Linked DNA regions of Cricetulus griseus. The protein of the gene in region 1 interacts with the protein of each later gene in a pairwise test. Links are inferred from orthologs where the notes say so. Each region holds a gene or a part of one and is shown on either strand. Other genes may lie near its edges.

Evidence for each region.
Region 2: the proteins of Rnf11 (region 1) and Rnf168 interact in binary tests that used the Homo sapiens proteins (3 or more experiments, as listed by UniProt). The link is inferred for Cricetulus griseus from reciprocal best matches to the Homo sapiens genes RNF11 and RNF168.
Region 3: the proteins of Rnf11 (region 1) and Ubqln2 interact in binary tests that used the Homo sapiens proteins (3 or more experiments, as listed by UniProt). The link is inferred for Cricetulus griseus from reciprocal best matches to the Homo sapiens genes RNF11 and UBQLN2.

What each region holds. Positions count from the first base shown.
Region 1 is NC_048595.1:40,350,325-40,354,527, forward strand, and holds the start of Rnf11 (RING finger protein 11), read left to right. Parts: upstream 1-1,403; 5' UTR 1,404-1,860; coding exon 1,861-1,983; intron 1,984-4,203. UniProt on the Homo sapiens protein: Essential component of a ubiquitin-editing protein complex, comprising also TNFAIP3, ITCH and TAX1BP1, that ensures the transient nature of inflammatory signaling pathways. Promotes the association of TNFAIP3 to RIPK1 after TNF stimulation.
Region 2 is NC_048597.1:57,245,463-57,249,408, reverse strand, and holds the start of Rnf168 (E3 ubiquitin-protein ligase RNF168), read left to right. Parts: upstream 1-1,146; coding exon 1,147-1,294; intron 1,295-1,384; coding exon 1,385-1,981; intron 1,982-3,946. UniProt on the Homo sapiens protein: E3 ubiquitin-protein ligase required for accumulation of repair proteins to sites of DNA damage. Acts with UBE2N/UBC13 to amplify the RNF8-dependent histone ubiquitination.
Region 3 is NC_048604.1:111,414,374-111,418,466, reverse strand, and holds the start of Ubqln2 (ubiquilin-2), read right to left. Parts: upstream 2,801-4,093; 5' UTR 2,528-2,800; coding exon 584-2,527; 3' UTR 1-583. UniProt on the Homo sapiens protein: Plays an important role in the regulation of different protein degradation mechanisms and pathways including ubiquitin-proteasome system (UPS), autophagy and the endoplasmic reticulum-associated protein degradation (ERAD) pathway.

The DNA of each region.
Region 1 (4,203 bases):
AAGAATAATAATAAGTCAGTAAATGGTGAATAAAAACCGATCAAAGTCAACCTCTTGCCTTCTTGTTGAAGGAATGACTGTGGAGAACAGCCTCATCTGTCTTCTTTTCCTTTCTTTTCTTTGCATATGCTCTTTGACCATTTATTTGTTCATTCAACCAAGGAAAAGAGTCTACCTTAGGCAGCATGCCAGGCCTACACAGGGAAGGGACAGATCATTCAGCTTGATCCACCTCACAGAAAGGCACAGGGACTGGAAACTCCGAGGAGGAGACTAACCCAGACTGGAGGGTCAGAAAAAGCTTCCCTAGCCAAACAAAAATGAATCCAGGAAGGACTTTTGGGAATAATGATTAGCCCAATGAGGGGTAGAAGGTCAGAAGTAGGGTCTGTCTGTGGAAATCCCAGCCTTAGGGAACAGTCTTTGAGATAACTAAAAGCACTTTGGCCATGTTGGAGTTGAGAATTTATGAAACGGGGACAGTACTGCTAATAAAATAGGCGTTTGTTTGTTTGTTTGTTTGGAGACTGGGTGTTTCTGTGTAGCTTTGGAGCTTATCCTGGCACTCGCTCTGGAGACTAGTCTGGCCTTGAATTCACATAGATCCACCTGCCTCTGCCTCCCTAGTGCTGGGATTAAAGGCGTGCCCCACCAACGCCCTGCTGTTGGGTGTCTTTTTTTTTTTTTTCAAGACATGGTTTGTCTGTGTAGCTCTGGCTGTTCTAGAGCTCACTCTGTAAACTAGGATGGCCTTGAACTCAAGAGATCTGCCTGTCTCTGCATCCCGAGTGTTGGGATTAAAGGTGTGTACCGTGGAGATCCAGATTTCTTAAGATTATTCTGTGGGAAGTACTGAGAAGCTACTAGAAATTTTAAGTGCAACTATATGGCATTAAAAAACAAAAATCCTCAACCATTCAAAGGGTTGGGGGGGGCAATGATGAATGCAGGGAGACTGAGAATCAATCGACTGCAAACGTTAGATTGAGGGGTGGTGGGACTGGAAAGAAATGAAACAATCTGATAATCTCTTAGCTGTGTGATGCCGGGAGGGTAGAACAGAGATAGGAAACACAGGGCGTGGCATTAAGTGTGGACTTTATTCTGAAAGGATAAAGAAGAAGCTGTTTAAACACCTCAGCTATCTGCCTAATCCATTCACATGCGGGCATATAAACATCACCTCGCAGACAGAGTGAACAGTCTTTGAGGACGCTGCGCAGGTAAGGGACCAGCCTCACGCCGCGAGCCGGCAGGGTGCAGCCGGGATACAGAGGGGCGCCCGAGACTGACGGACACACAGTCAGCACCTTAAACTCAGCACCACGCAGGGGGCGGGGAGCAAGGAGCCCGAGGCGGGGCCAGAGCACGCACGGCGGCGTGACGTAGGCCCGGCTGGCCTCGTTCTGGCTGCCGCCGCCGCGCTAAGGCGGAGTAGGATGAGGCCCCAGGCCGCGGCTCCAGCGTCGGCAGGGGCAACAGCCGCTGAGGCAGCAGCTGAGGCAGCCGGGACGGCCGCGCCCCCCCCTCCTGACCTGGATTAGGCCCAGCAGCCCCGTGGCCGCCGCCGCCTCGCGGGGGGCGGGGTGGGGGAAGCGCTCCGTCTCCCCGCCCCCGCCCCCCTCAGGCTCCCGGCGCGACCCCGGCGCAGCCCGCGGCCTAGCCTCGCGCCCCCTGCCCCGGGGGCTGGCATGAGTGGCCCCTCGGCGGCGCCGGGGCGCGGGGGAGCCGCCTCCTGAGCCCCGGGCCTGCCGCCTTGGACCCCGCGGCGCCGGGCGAGCTCACCGCTGAGTGTGCGGGAGACCGGGTCACAGCTTTCTTCCTCCCCCAGATCTCACGCACACACCTCAGCCCCGGAAGATGGGGAACTGCCTCAAATCCCCGACCTCGGATGACATCTCCCTGCTTCACGAGTCTCAGTCCGACCGGGCTAGCTTTGGCGAGGGGACGGAGCCAGATCAGGAGCCGCCGCCGCCATATCAGGTACGGGAGGGTGTGTGTTGGCGTGAGAGGAGAGGTGGCTCGGGCCCTCTGCCCTTGGCCTCCACGGCCTGGCCTCGGGGGGCGTTGACCCCTTCGGGGCTGGTCTTGAGGGTGTCTGCTGCCCAGTCCCCGACTAGAGAAGGATCCTTCTTGCCTTCCCCTTGGGCACCGTTTGGGGACGGTGTTCTGTCCTTGAGTTCAGGAATCAAACTATGTGATCATATCCCCTTGGCTAGTGTCTGGTAGTTAGCTTGTAGAGTTAAGGATGACATGGTTTTCCTGCCTTTATGTCTTGAGTTGTGTGATTTCCTCAACAGACTGCCAACAGGATTATGGGTTGTGGGTAGGTTGTCACCCCCCCCCCTTTATAATTGTGTTTTCGTTTATAGTCCTCCCTACTCCCACCCTATCTTTGTTAATTGGTTCGGGAGAATGTCTTTTTACCATCTACTTGGGGAGGTAGAATTCCAAGTGGGAATTTTAGCCTCAGCTTCATAAAGAGTTACTTGTTTATATATACATACGTGGTAAATTTTAAGCTCCTCCTGTTTTTGCTCCACCCCTGTGACACACCTTTTAAGTAAGTTGATTTAATAAAACCTTGATTATCTTGAACTTTAGAGACCTTTCAGACATCTGTTACTTAAGGCCTTCTCTTTATCAAGACTCTTGAATGAGTCTTTCTCAGTGATAACTGAGTAAACTCCCAGGTGGGCTTGAATGCAATTCTTCAGTATTTTCCTGGAGAGAGGTGGGTTTTCTAACTTGGCAGTCTCCTTTGTTTTTTATGTGGTGACATCATTATCTAGTTTTGTGTTTTCCTTTCTCAATTCTGTGTAAACCAGTTTCCCATCATGTGATCACATACGCTGATTTTCTGACCCTCTTCAGGGGTCTTCCATGCACATTAGTCCAGTCTTCATTGTAGCCTCTACATTTCAAGCTTACCAAACCAGGCTGTTGACAATTCTGACAATTTCGTCTTCACTCCAGGTGATCTTGCTTCTAGGAGCCTTTGCCCCAAGGTTGCCCAGGTGAATATCTAATCCTCTTCAAGGACTCAGCTCACTATCTAAAGTTCTGACATTCCCTTCCTGAATTCCTGGAGGTGTCCCCCACAAACCTTCCACACTTATATAAGCAATACCCTGCCTATAATAGTTTAGTATCTTTGTTCAGGCAGTTGTGTGTCTCATCCTTGAAATATGTGTTCCCCTCCCCTTGTATAAGCTGAATTTGGGACATTTTCCAGGTGCTTTTCTACCCCAGCATCTGACTCATAGTAGATGCTCAATAACTGAGATAAATGAAGAATAGAAGCTCTGTTCTCACTGTTTCATGCAATTCCTGTCACATAAAAATGCAGTGTACCCCATTTCTCCCAACTTGTTTAAATTGCTCCAAGAGCAGACTTTAATACTAAATGGGATCTGGAATTGAACTGAGAGCCTTGTACATGCTAGCAAAACACTACAACAGAGCTATAATTCCAGTACCACCACCACCACCACCACCACCCTTTAAAAAACAAAACAAAACTGTTTCATGAAGTCACCAGACAGGCCCTCAACTTTCTGTCCTACTGTCTCCGCCTCCAGAGTTGCTAGAATTAGAGGCCTATACACCACTAGGCCTTTCTCTCAGGTATCTATAGCTTACTGTTTCCCCCTCTACGATAGCTACTCAAATGTATTAATTTAGGTGTCATGAGCAAACTTTTTCCTCCCAAAATCTATGCTTCATAGCCTCTTTCTAGGAAAATTGAATACCTGACTTGTTTTCTCTGTTAGAGTTTATAGAAACTATATTTTTGTCCTTTCTAGAGGGACTAGGTAGATCATGATGGGTTTTGGTATTTCCAGTATTTTTTGGAATGTGTTATTTTTGACAGTGGAAATTGTATTGTGGTTGCCTTTTCCTGAAATGAATGAGCGACCCGGATACTGATATGCAAAGTTAGTATCAGAACATAAAAAGAGAATTTTAGTCTGGCATGGTCGCTCATGCCTGTCATCCTAATGCTTGGAAGGAAGGCTGGGGCGGGAGGATTGTTTGCTGACAGCTCTACATAGTGATGTCTGTGCTGGTCTGGGCTATAGAATGAAATCTTATCTCAAGAATTTTTAAAAGAAAGCTGTAGAAATAATAATGCCTCCTTGAAGTCTATACTGTATTGCTAATATTTGTTTCTACATGACTTGGAAGCTAAAAGAAATAGTA
Region 2 (3,946 bases), on another chromosome or scaffold:
CATCAGGGTTGTGACATTAGAAATAAGTGTAAATGTCAAATTGTCACAGGTCCGAGGATTCTCTGTCTCAAACTTTCAACTTTCCATTGAGATCAGCCTTCTAACAGATTTACAGGGGAGCTGAGCCAGAGTCTGTTAGACCTGGAACTCTATGTTGCCTGAGTTGGACTTCAGCTTTAGATCCCCTTGCTTCTGTCTCTACCTTTATCACCTAAAGGTTGGGATTACAAAACACATGTGACCACACCTCTCTCAAAATACTTTTCTTTCTTTCGTTTTTTAAAAAGGTCTCTTTGAGTAGTACTGGTACCCACTGTGTAGACCAGGTTGGCCTCTAACTCAGAGATCCTCCTGCGTCTGCCTCTGAAGTGTTGGGATTAAAGGTGAGTGCCACTATTGTTCTTTTGTTTCAAATGCTAGGATAAAGCTGAAAGGGGGTCCTGCGTGGGGGACCGTGGCAGATTCCATGGCTGGCAAGGGTGACCAAGGCGGGGGACAAACATGCCAGGTAGATAGAGCTTAAGTGAGAAGTTTCATTAGAAAAGGAAGGGAGGGGGCAGGGAAGGGGAAGGAAAGAGAAAAGAAGTAAAGAGACACAGAGGGAGGGCAGAAAAGCAGAAAGAGAGGAGAACGGAAGAGCAGAAGAGCCATCACCTAAGAGAGAGCAGGAAAAGCAGAGAGGAGAGCCGGAAAGAGCAGAAAGAGAGCGTAAAATCCGCCTGCCTCTGCCTCCCGAGTGCTGGGATTAAAGGCGTGTGCCACCGACGCCCGGCAAAGCAAAAATTTTTTTAGCTGAATTTGTTGCAATTTTTTTTTCTTTTGGCCCTAAGAACTTTGGAAACTTTGGTTAGGAGATACAAAATGTAGTTCTAAGAGTACTGAGAGAATAATTATCAATATTACTGCTTGGATCTTGCTTAGCGAGTTCACTTTTGAGCCAGTGACTAACCAAAATTTTCACAGCCTACACGGATGAAACCACCTTAGACTGGTGGAGCTGCGACAAGCAGATAGGGCTCGACTGCGCGCGCGCGCAGCTCCCGGAAGCCCCGCCCAATCGAGAGGGTGCTTGGGTAAGGAGGGCCGTTTTGGCGGGGAATTGTGACGTCTGTGGACGTGTGTACCTGCTCCTGCCGCCGCCAATGAATGGGCCGGCGGCGCAGCGGATCTGAGCGGCTGGGTCTCGGGACCCTCCGCGAGGCGACCAGGAGCTGTAGCGCGGGGACTGTAGCACTGCCTCCGCCTCAACGGCGAGACGGAAGCCTAGCGGCGGCCCGAGCCCGACCTCCGGGCGGTACGAGGTGCTCTCGGAGCGGCGGTCCCCGCTTCGGGACCCGGCAGTCCCGGCGGCCTCGCCCGAAGAGGCGGGTGCTCACCCGCTGAGGTGAGGAGGGGAGCTGGAGCCGACTGTCCGCCCCGCGGGGAGCCGGAACCACTCACCGACCCGAGCCGGCTGCGCTCTCGAAGGAACGTTCGTTCATTCCCTTGCTGGACGCAGGGCATAACTGCTCGCCTGTTTGCCTCGAGCCTCGGGAAGGTCAGCCTGTCTGGATTCCAGTACGCTGCCTGTGTGTCAGAGTAAATACCAAACCGCTCGCCGGCTTCCTTCGTACCGTGGTTAGCCGAAAGGCTGGTTTCTTTGAGCTCTTGACGTTGAGTAGGCCTCGTGAGCGTCTGGAGATGGCGGCATCCAAAGAGGCCATCCCTTCCTTAGCAGAGTGTCAGTGCGGCATCTGTATGGAAATCCTAGTCGAGCCGGTAACCCTTCCCTGCAACCACACGCTCTGTAACCCGTGCTTTCAGTCAACTGTTGAAAAGGCCAACCTGTGCTGTCCCTTCTGTCGCCGCCGGGTCTCTTCGTGGACTCGGTATCATACCCGAAGAAATTCTCTTGTCAATAGAGACCTGTGGGAGATTATTCAAAAACACTATGCAAAGGAGTGCAAGCTTAGAGCCTCTGGGCAGGAATCAAGGGAAATCAGTGAGTAAAATTCAACATGGTTTTGGGGTTAAAAAGAAAAAAAGCCCAAAATGGTTTAGAGAGGTATCCATCACTTTTCTATTTAAAGAAAAAAGGTGTGTGGGGGAGGAGGGAGGTGGTGGCGCACGCTTTTAATCCTTGGGAGGCAGAGGCAGAGGCAGGCGTATCTCTTGAGTTCAAGGCCAGCCTGGTCTATAGCGCTAGTTCCAGGACAGCCAGGGCTACACATAGAAACCCTATCGGGGGGGGGGACGGGGGGGGGAGAAAGAAAAGAAAAAGAGGACTAACTAGTCTAAATTGACCTTGGGGATTTGTGGTTTTGTGAACCCCGCCCCCATATCGGTTAAAGGCAAAGGCAAATTTTTTTTATCACCTGTAATAATGCTCAAGTTGTGTTCACCAGCTGTGAATTGAGTTTTTAAAATTGCAAAAAAAAAAAAAAAGAATCGCCCCTTTAGAGTTGTCTAACTTCTCAAAGAATTGTGTGGTCAAATTCCAGAGTTCTTTGGCTTTGCATTACTTTCTCTGACCTGTTTATTAATTTCCTTCATTTTATGCTCCGTCCTTAGTATGCAGCAAGCCAAAAATAGATTCCAATTGCCAGTTCCATCTAGTTCAGTCATTTTTGGTTGACCCCTTCCATTCTGGGGGTGCAAAGAGCTACAAACTGATCCCTAGTCTTTAACACTATACCAGTATTACAAGCCATTCAGTATTTCCTTTGGGGCCTGAATGTGGTGTTGGTCTGTAGAGTACCTGCCCTTTATGTGTTTCAAAACACACACACACACACACACACACACACACAGAGGTGACTGGGAGTGGTGGTGCACACTTTTAATCAAAGTACTCAGAGGCAGGGGCAGGTGGATCTGAGTCCAAGGCCAGCCTAGTTTACAGAGAATTCCAAGACCTCAAGGGCTACACAGAGAAACTGTGTCAAACAACTAAACCCCCACAAAATTTCCCGTCTTAATCATTTTAAGCAACAAATCTTGAACAAGAAACCCCCAGTTTTGTAGAGATGCATATGGTAATAGTCGCCTATTTAAAATACTGCTTAAAGCAGGGTGTAGTCCTGCATGCCTTTAATCCAATCACATGGGAGGGAGAGTCCAGAAGTCGGATCTCTAAGTTGAAGGTCAGCCTCCTCTCTTTATTTGAGCTCCAGAACTACAACAGAGACTTTGTCTTAAAATGGCACACACCTTTATTCCCAGCACTGGGGAGGCAGAGGTAGGTGGATCTCCAAAGTTCAAAGCCAACCAGAGAGAGCAAGCATTATGTGCATGCAGGAACCCTTGGAGATCAAGAGAGGCATCAGATCCCCCAGAACTACAGTTAGGACAGTTGCAATCAGAAATTTCTTCTTATTCTTTTTTTTTTTTTAAGATTTATTTATTTATTATGTATACAGTGTTCTGTCTGCATATATCCCTGCAGGACGGAAGAGGACACCAGATCACATTACAGATGGTTGTGAGCCATCATGTGGTTGCTGGAAATTGAACTCAGGACCTCTGGAAGACCAGCTAGTGTTCTTAGCCACTGAGCCACCTCTTTAGCCCAAATTTCTTATTTTTTTTTTAAAGTTCACTTGATAAATAAAAATAGCCAAGATATCAAGAGAGCAAAAGGCAGCCCACAAAATAGAAGAAAAATATTTGTAAATTATAGATAATAAGAAAACAGACAGCAAACATTTGTAATTCTAACACTTGGAAGGCTGGGGCAAGAAAGAGGTCTGCTGCAAGTTTGGGACCAGCCTACGCTATGTCAAAAGAGTCTGAAAATGGGGCTAAGAAATGGCTCATCAATTAACAGCACTTCTCACAGAGGGGACTGGGTTCAATTCCCAGCACCCTCACCAGGCACCTCCTTATAACTCCAGCTGCTGAGGATCTGAGGTCCTGCCCTCTTCTGGTCTCCATTGGTGCTTGCATGCCTGTGCTGAACATAAAACTC
Region 3 (4,093 bases), on another chromosome or scaffold:
TAGCAAAAATACATGCCAAAGTCACAATAAGCAATATTTTACCACAAATTAGAGAGCTTCAAATAATTTGCTTCTTTTTTAATATCTCCATTCTACATTAAATTACTATCATAGGCTAATGTTTAAAATGCAAATAAACTGGACATCTGTAGGACAGAACTTGTTCACCCAACTGTGAAGGCTGATACCTGTTTCCAAAAATCACAATAAATGCAGAATAAAGAGAAGTGTTTGCATGCAACACCTTTGAGTGAAACAGCATTGATCCCCACCATTCAAATCAGAGAAGGAAGGAAATCCAAAGAAGAAAAGGAAGGAAAGAAGAAGGGAGGGAAGGAAACAAAGAGGGGAGAGGGCAGGCTGGAAGGGAAGGGAGAGAGAGGGTGGGAGGGAGGGTGGCGGGAGGAGGAGGAGCAGGAAGGGAAAGAAGGGAGGGACTCCACCTTAAAATGCATCCTTTTAGATTTATAAGTAGACAGATTTAAAAGAATCAAAATAAAAGTAAAGCACAATTTTGTGTGTTTAAAGATTTAAGAGCCATTATCAAAAATAAGATACATTTTTTCAAGGTACAGAAATGTAATTACGATGGCTGAGAGCCCAGCAGCCTCTCAATGGCCGCATTGATGTCGCCTCCTGTTGCTATTAGGGCCTGCAAGTTTGCTTCACGATTTATGAACCCCATGGCGTTGAGCTGTTCCAGTTGCTGCTGAAATCTCATTTCTGCACTCGCCATCTGGGCAGGAGTTGGTCCTGCTCCTCCTCCTGCCAGAGCCTGCACCATCTGATGAATGAACTGCGGGCTGGGTAAAGTTTCCATTGTCGGACTGATGGTATCAGTAGCTGCACAGCTGCTCACAGTGGTTGCAGGGGGGACCCCAGTGCCGGTGGATCCAGGAGAGCTTGCAGGGCCAGTGGGTCCTATAGGCCCAATAGGGCCTATGGGGGTGAAAGGAACTATAGGACCCATGGGCCCTATGGGAGTGACTGGGCCCACAGGGGTTATGGTGGTTCCCAGGACTCCCACCCCCACACCTGGAGCGAAGCTTGGAATGAGGCCAGGTGCTTCAGTGGCTAGTGTCTGTAGCCCCTGCTGGATCTGCATTAACGCTTGCATCGCTCTCGGATTTGACATGGCCGCAAGCGTGTCTGGATTCTGCATCTGCTGCAGGAAATTCGGGAGCTGTGGACGCATCTGCTCTTGCAGCTGAGGATTTGAAGCAAACAGTGGGCTACTCATCATCATCTGGGCAGCCAAATCTGGATTCTGGCTCAGCGACTGCATCATGCTTCTCATGTAGGGTGCAGACAGCATATTCTGAATCAGCTGGGGATTTTCAGTTATCTGTTGCAGCAGGTTCTGCATTCCTGGTGTACTAAAGATGCTAGCAACATAATTAGCTGCCGCCATGGTGTTCCCGAAGGTGCTACTAGAGGAGCTACCGCCAGGCATAGTGCCACTGCTTGTGGTCGTGGTGTTGGTCGGAGAGCCCTGGGTAGCTGGCGTTGGTGCCCAAGGATTGGGCAGTGGATCCCGGTTTTCTGTGCGGGAAGGCTGGGTGCCCTCCCCTGAGGAACTGCTCCCCACCGTGGCAAAGGGGTTACCCCCAAACTGCTCCTGTGCGGCATTCAGCATGGGCTCTTGAATGTCAGTGTACATGCGCCGCAGAGCATTGTAGCCACCTGGGATGCTTTCGAGATTACTGAGAGCCAGGTCTTGATTTCTCATCATCTCTTGCATCATGGCAGGATTCCTGGCGATTTCGAGAGTCTGCCTCATTATATCTGGGTTGTTCAGTAGGTGACTGATCTCTGGGTTTCTCTGGATCAGTTGTTGCATCTGCGGATTGGCCATAATGAGCTGCCTCATCAGATCAGGATTCGAAAGCATGCTCTGAACAAAGGGATTTTCCATGATCTGGATCATCATCTCAGGGCTAGCCATGAGCTGCTGCTGCATATGGTTCTGAAGCTCAGTGAAGCTGGTCGAGTTCAGACCCAGGCTGCTAAGGCTAGCAAGTCCTCCCAGGGTCCCCGACGCAAACGGATTGTTATTCGTGAGAGAAGGTGTGGAGAGACTCCTGGGAGCCGTTGTCGACGCTGGCGCCGTTGGCGCCCCTGGCGCTGTTGCGGCCGTGGTGGTGGTGGTGGTCGTGCATGTTCCCGCAGTGGTGCTAGGCTGCGTGGTGGACTGGCTCTGAGGGCGGTTCTGGTTTTTGATGACAAGGTGAACAGTCAGTCCATCATGGATGCCATGCTGCATCAAGGTATCTTGATCTTTCAAGATTTTTCCGGCAAAAATCAGCACGAGCTGATCGATTTGCGATTTGAAGCGTTTAGAAATCGCTTCCTTAAACTGCTGGACGGTGCTATTCTCGGGCACCGCGAACTCCTCTTTCTCTTTGGGGGTCTTCACAGTGACTTTGATGATTTTGGGCTCGGCTGGCTCGGTGGCCTCGCCTTGGGCCGCAGCGGCAGGGCCGCGGGAGGGGCGCGGGGGGCCGCTGCTCTCGCCGTTCTCAGCCATGGCGGCCGCGGTGACGCAGGCTGGCAGGGAAGGCGCTGGCGAGCGAGAGGGCGCGAGGGAAAGAGGAAGGAAGGAGGCGCCGCAGCAGAGGACTGGGCGGCCCCGCGAGCAGTGCGGAACACAGTACCTCGGAGATGAATGGAGGCTGCAGCTCCCGGTAGTCGGATGCGCACAGGGTTTGGCGTAGGCCGCGGCCGAGCGCTGAGCGAGCAGGTCTCCAGGCCTTCTCCGCCGCCGCCTTGTGATCTGTCCGCGCGCACTCCCAGCAACTCCTGCAGCTGCGGTGCCCGCGCTCCCGCCCCGCCCCGCCCCGGCCCGGCCCCGCCCCCTGCTGACGCGGCGCCAGCCCAGCCACAGTCGCTCGGCCGAGTGCAAAACTCCTGGCCTGCAGAGGGGGGGAAAGGAGGGAGAGAGAAATAAACAAAGAGAGGGGGAAGAGAAGGAGGCTGGAAGAGAAAGCGAGGGGACCCGGGCGAGGCGAGGCGAGGCGAGGCGAGGCGAGGAGAGGGGGAAGGGAGGAGGCCGGGAGGAGGAAGAGGGAGGCAGCTTCTTTAGCAGCCCCTGAAAGACCAATGGAGAATGTGGGTTCGCAATCTGGGAGGCAGTGAAAGGATGAAAGCCTGAATTGAACCGATCCCATGCAAAGGACGAAAAATGAATAGTAAAGAACTCTGACAAAGCAAAAAGGGAAAACGAACACCCGGATGGGGGAAGGGCAGGCATGGCGGGAGCGAGCATTTTACAAAAGAAGCGAAAAAACGGCCAGCAGGCTTCTAAAATATGATTGTGCTCGCTATTAATCAAAGGGATTCAAATAAAAACAATGAGATTTTACTTCGACTTTATCATATTTGCAAAGATGAAAGAGAATGTTAAATCTTGTTGACCAGGAGCCGAGAAAATGCACTCTCATGCTAGTTGTAGTATGAATTGTAATACGGCAGTTTGAAAATACAAATGAACATTTTGAATATTTGCACCTTTGTTTAGAAATACCTAATCGATTCAAAAAAGCATATTATGATGTATATTAATAACGTAGCATTTAAAAACAGTGTTTAGATATTTTCAATGTGTGTGTAAAACATAGAATTACTCAAACATACTACGATAGTGCCATACAATAAAATAATCCCTGTATCTAAAAGATGGTGGCTAATTCATGTAATATTAAGTGTCTCTAAAAGTGTACATCAAAATGCACTGTAGTGACGAGAAAATAATAGATGGTATTTAATATGGGTTAATATTTTTTCTAAACAAATGGAAACAATACAGGCATGTAGATATTGATCAAAAAGCTAGTAGCCTGTGTGGAAAAGAAATCTGAAAGGCTGTACTCCAGTAAAGGTAACAATTAGAGCTGAAATTGTGAATAATTCTTATTTTCTATTTTTATCAGATTTTCAATTTGATGGATAAGTATGCATTGCATTTATAATTTTTAAAAACAACAAATATATTTCCAGACAAGAATGTAGGTAAAAACTGACAGCCAGACAATAGTGGTGGCAAAGATTAACCTATTTATCTTTTGCATTACTGAGTAAAGGAAATAACAATGTA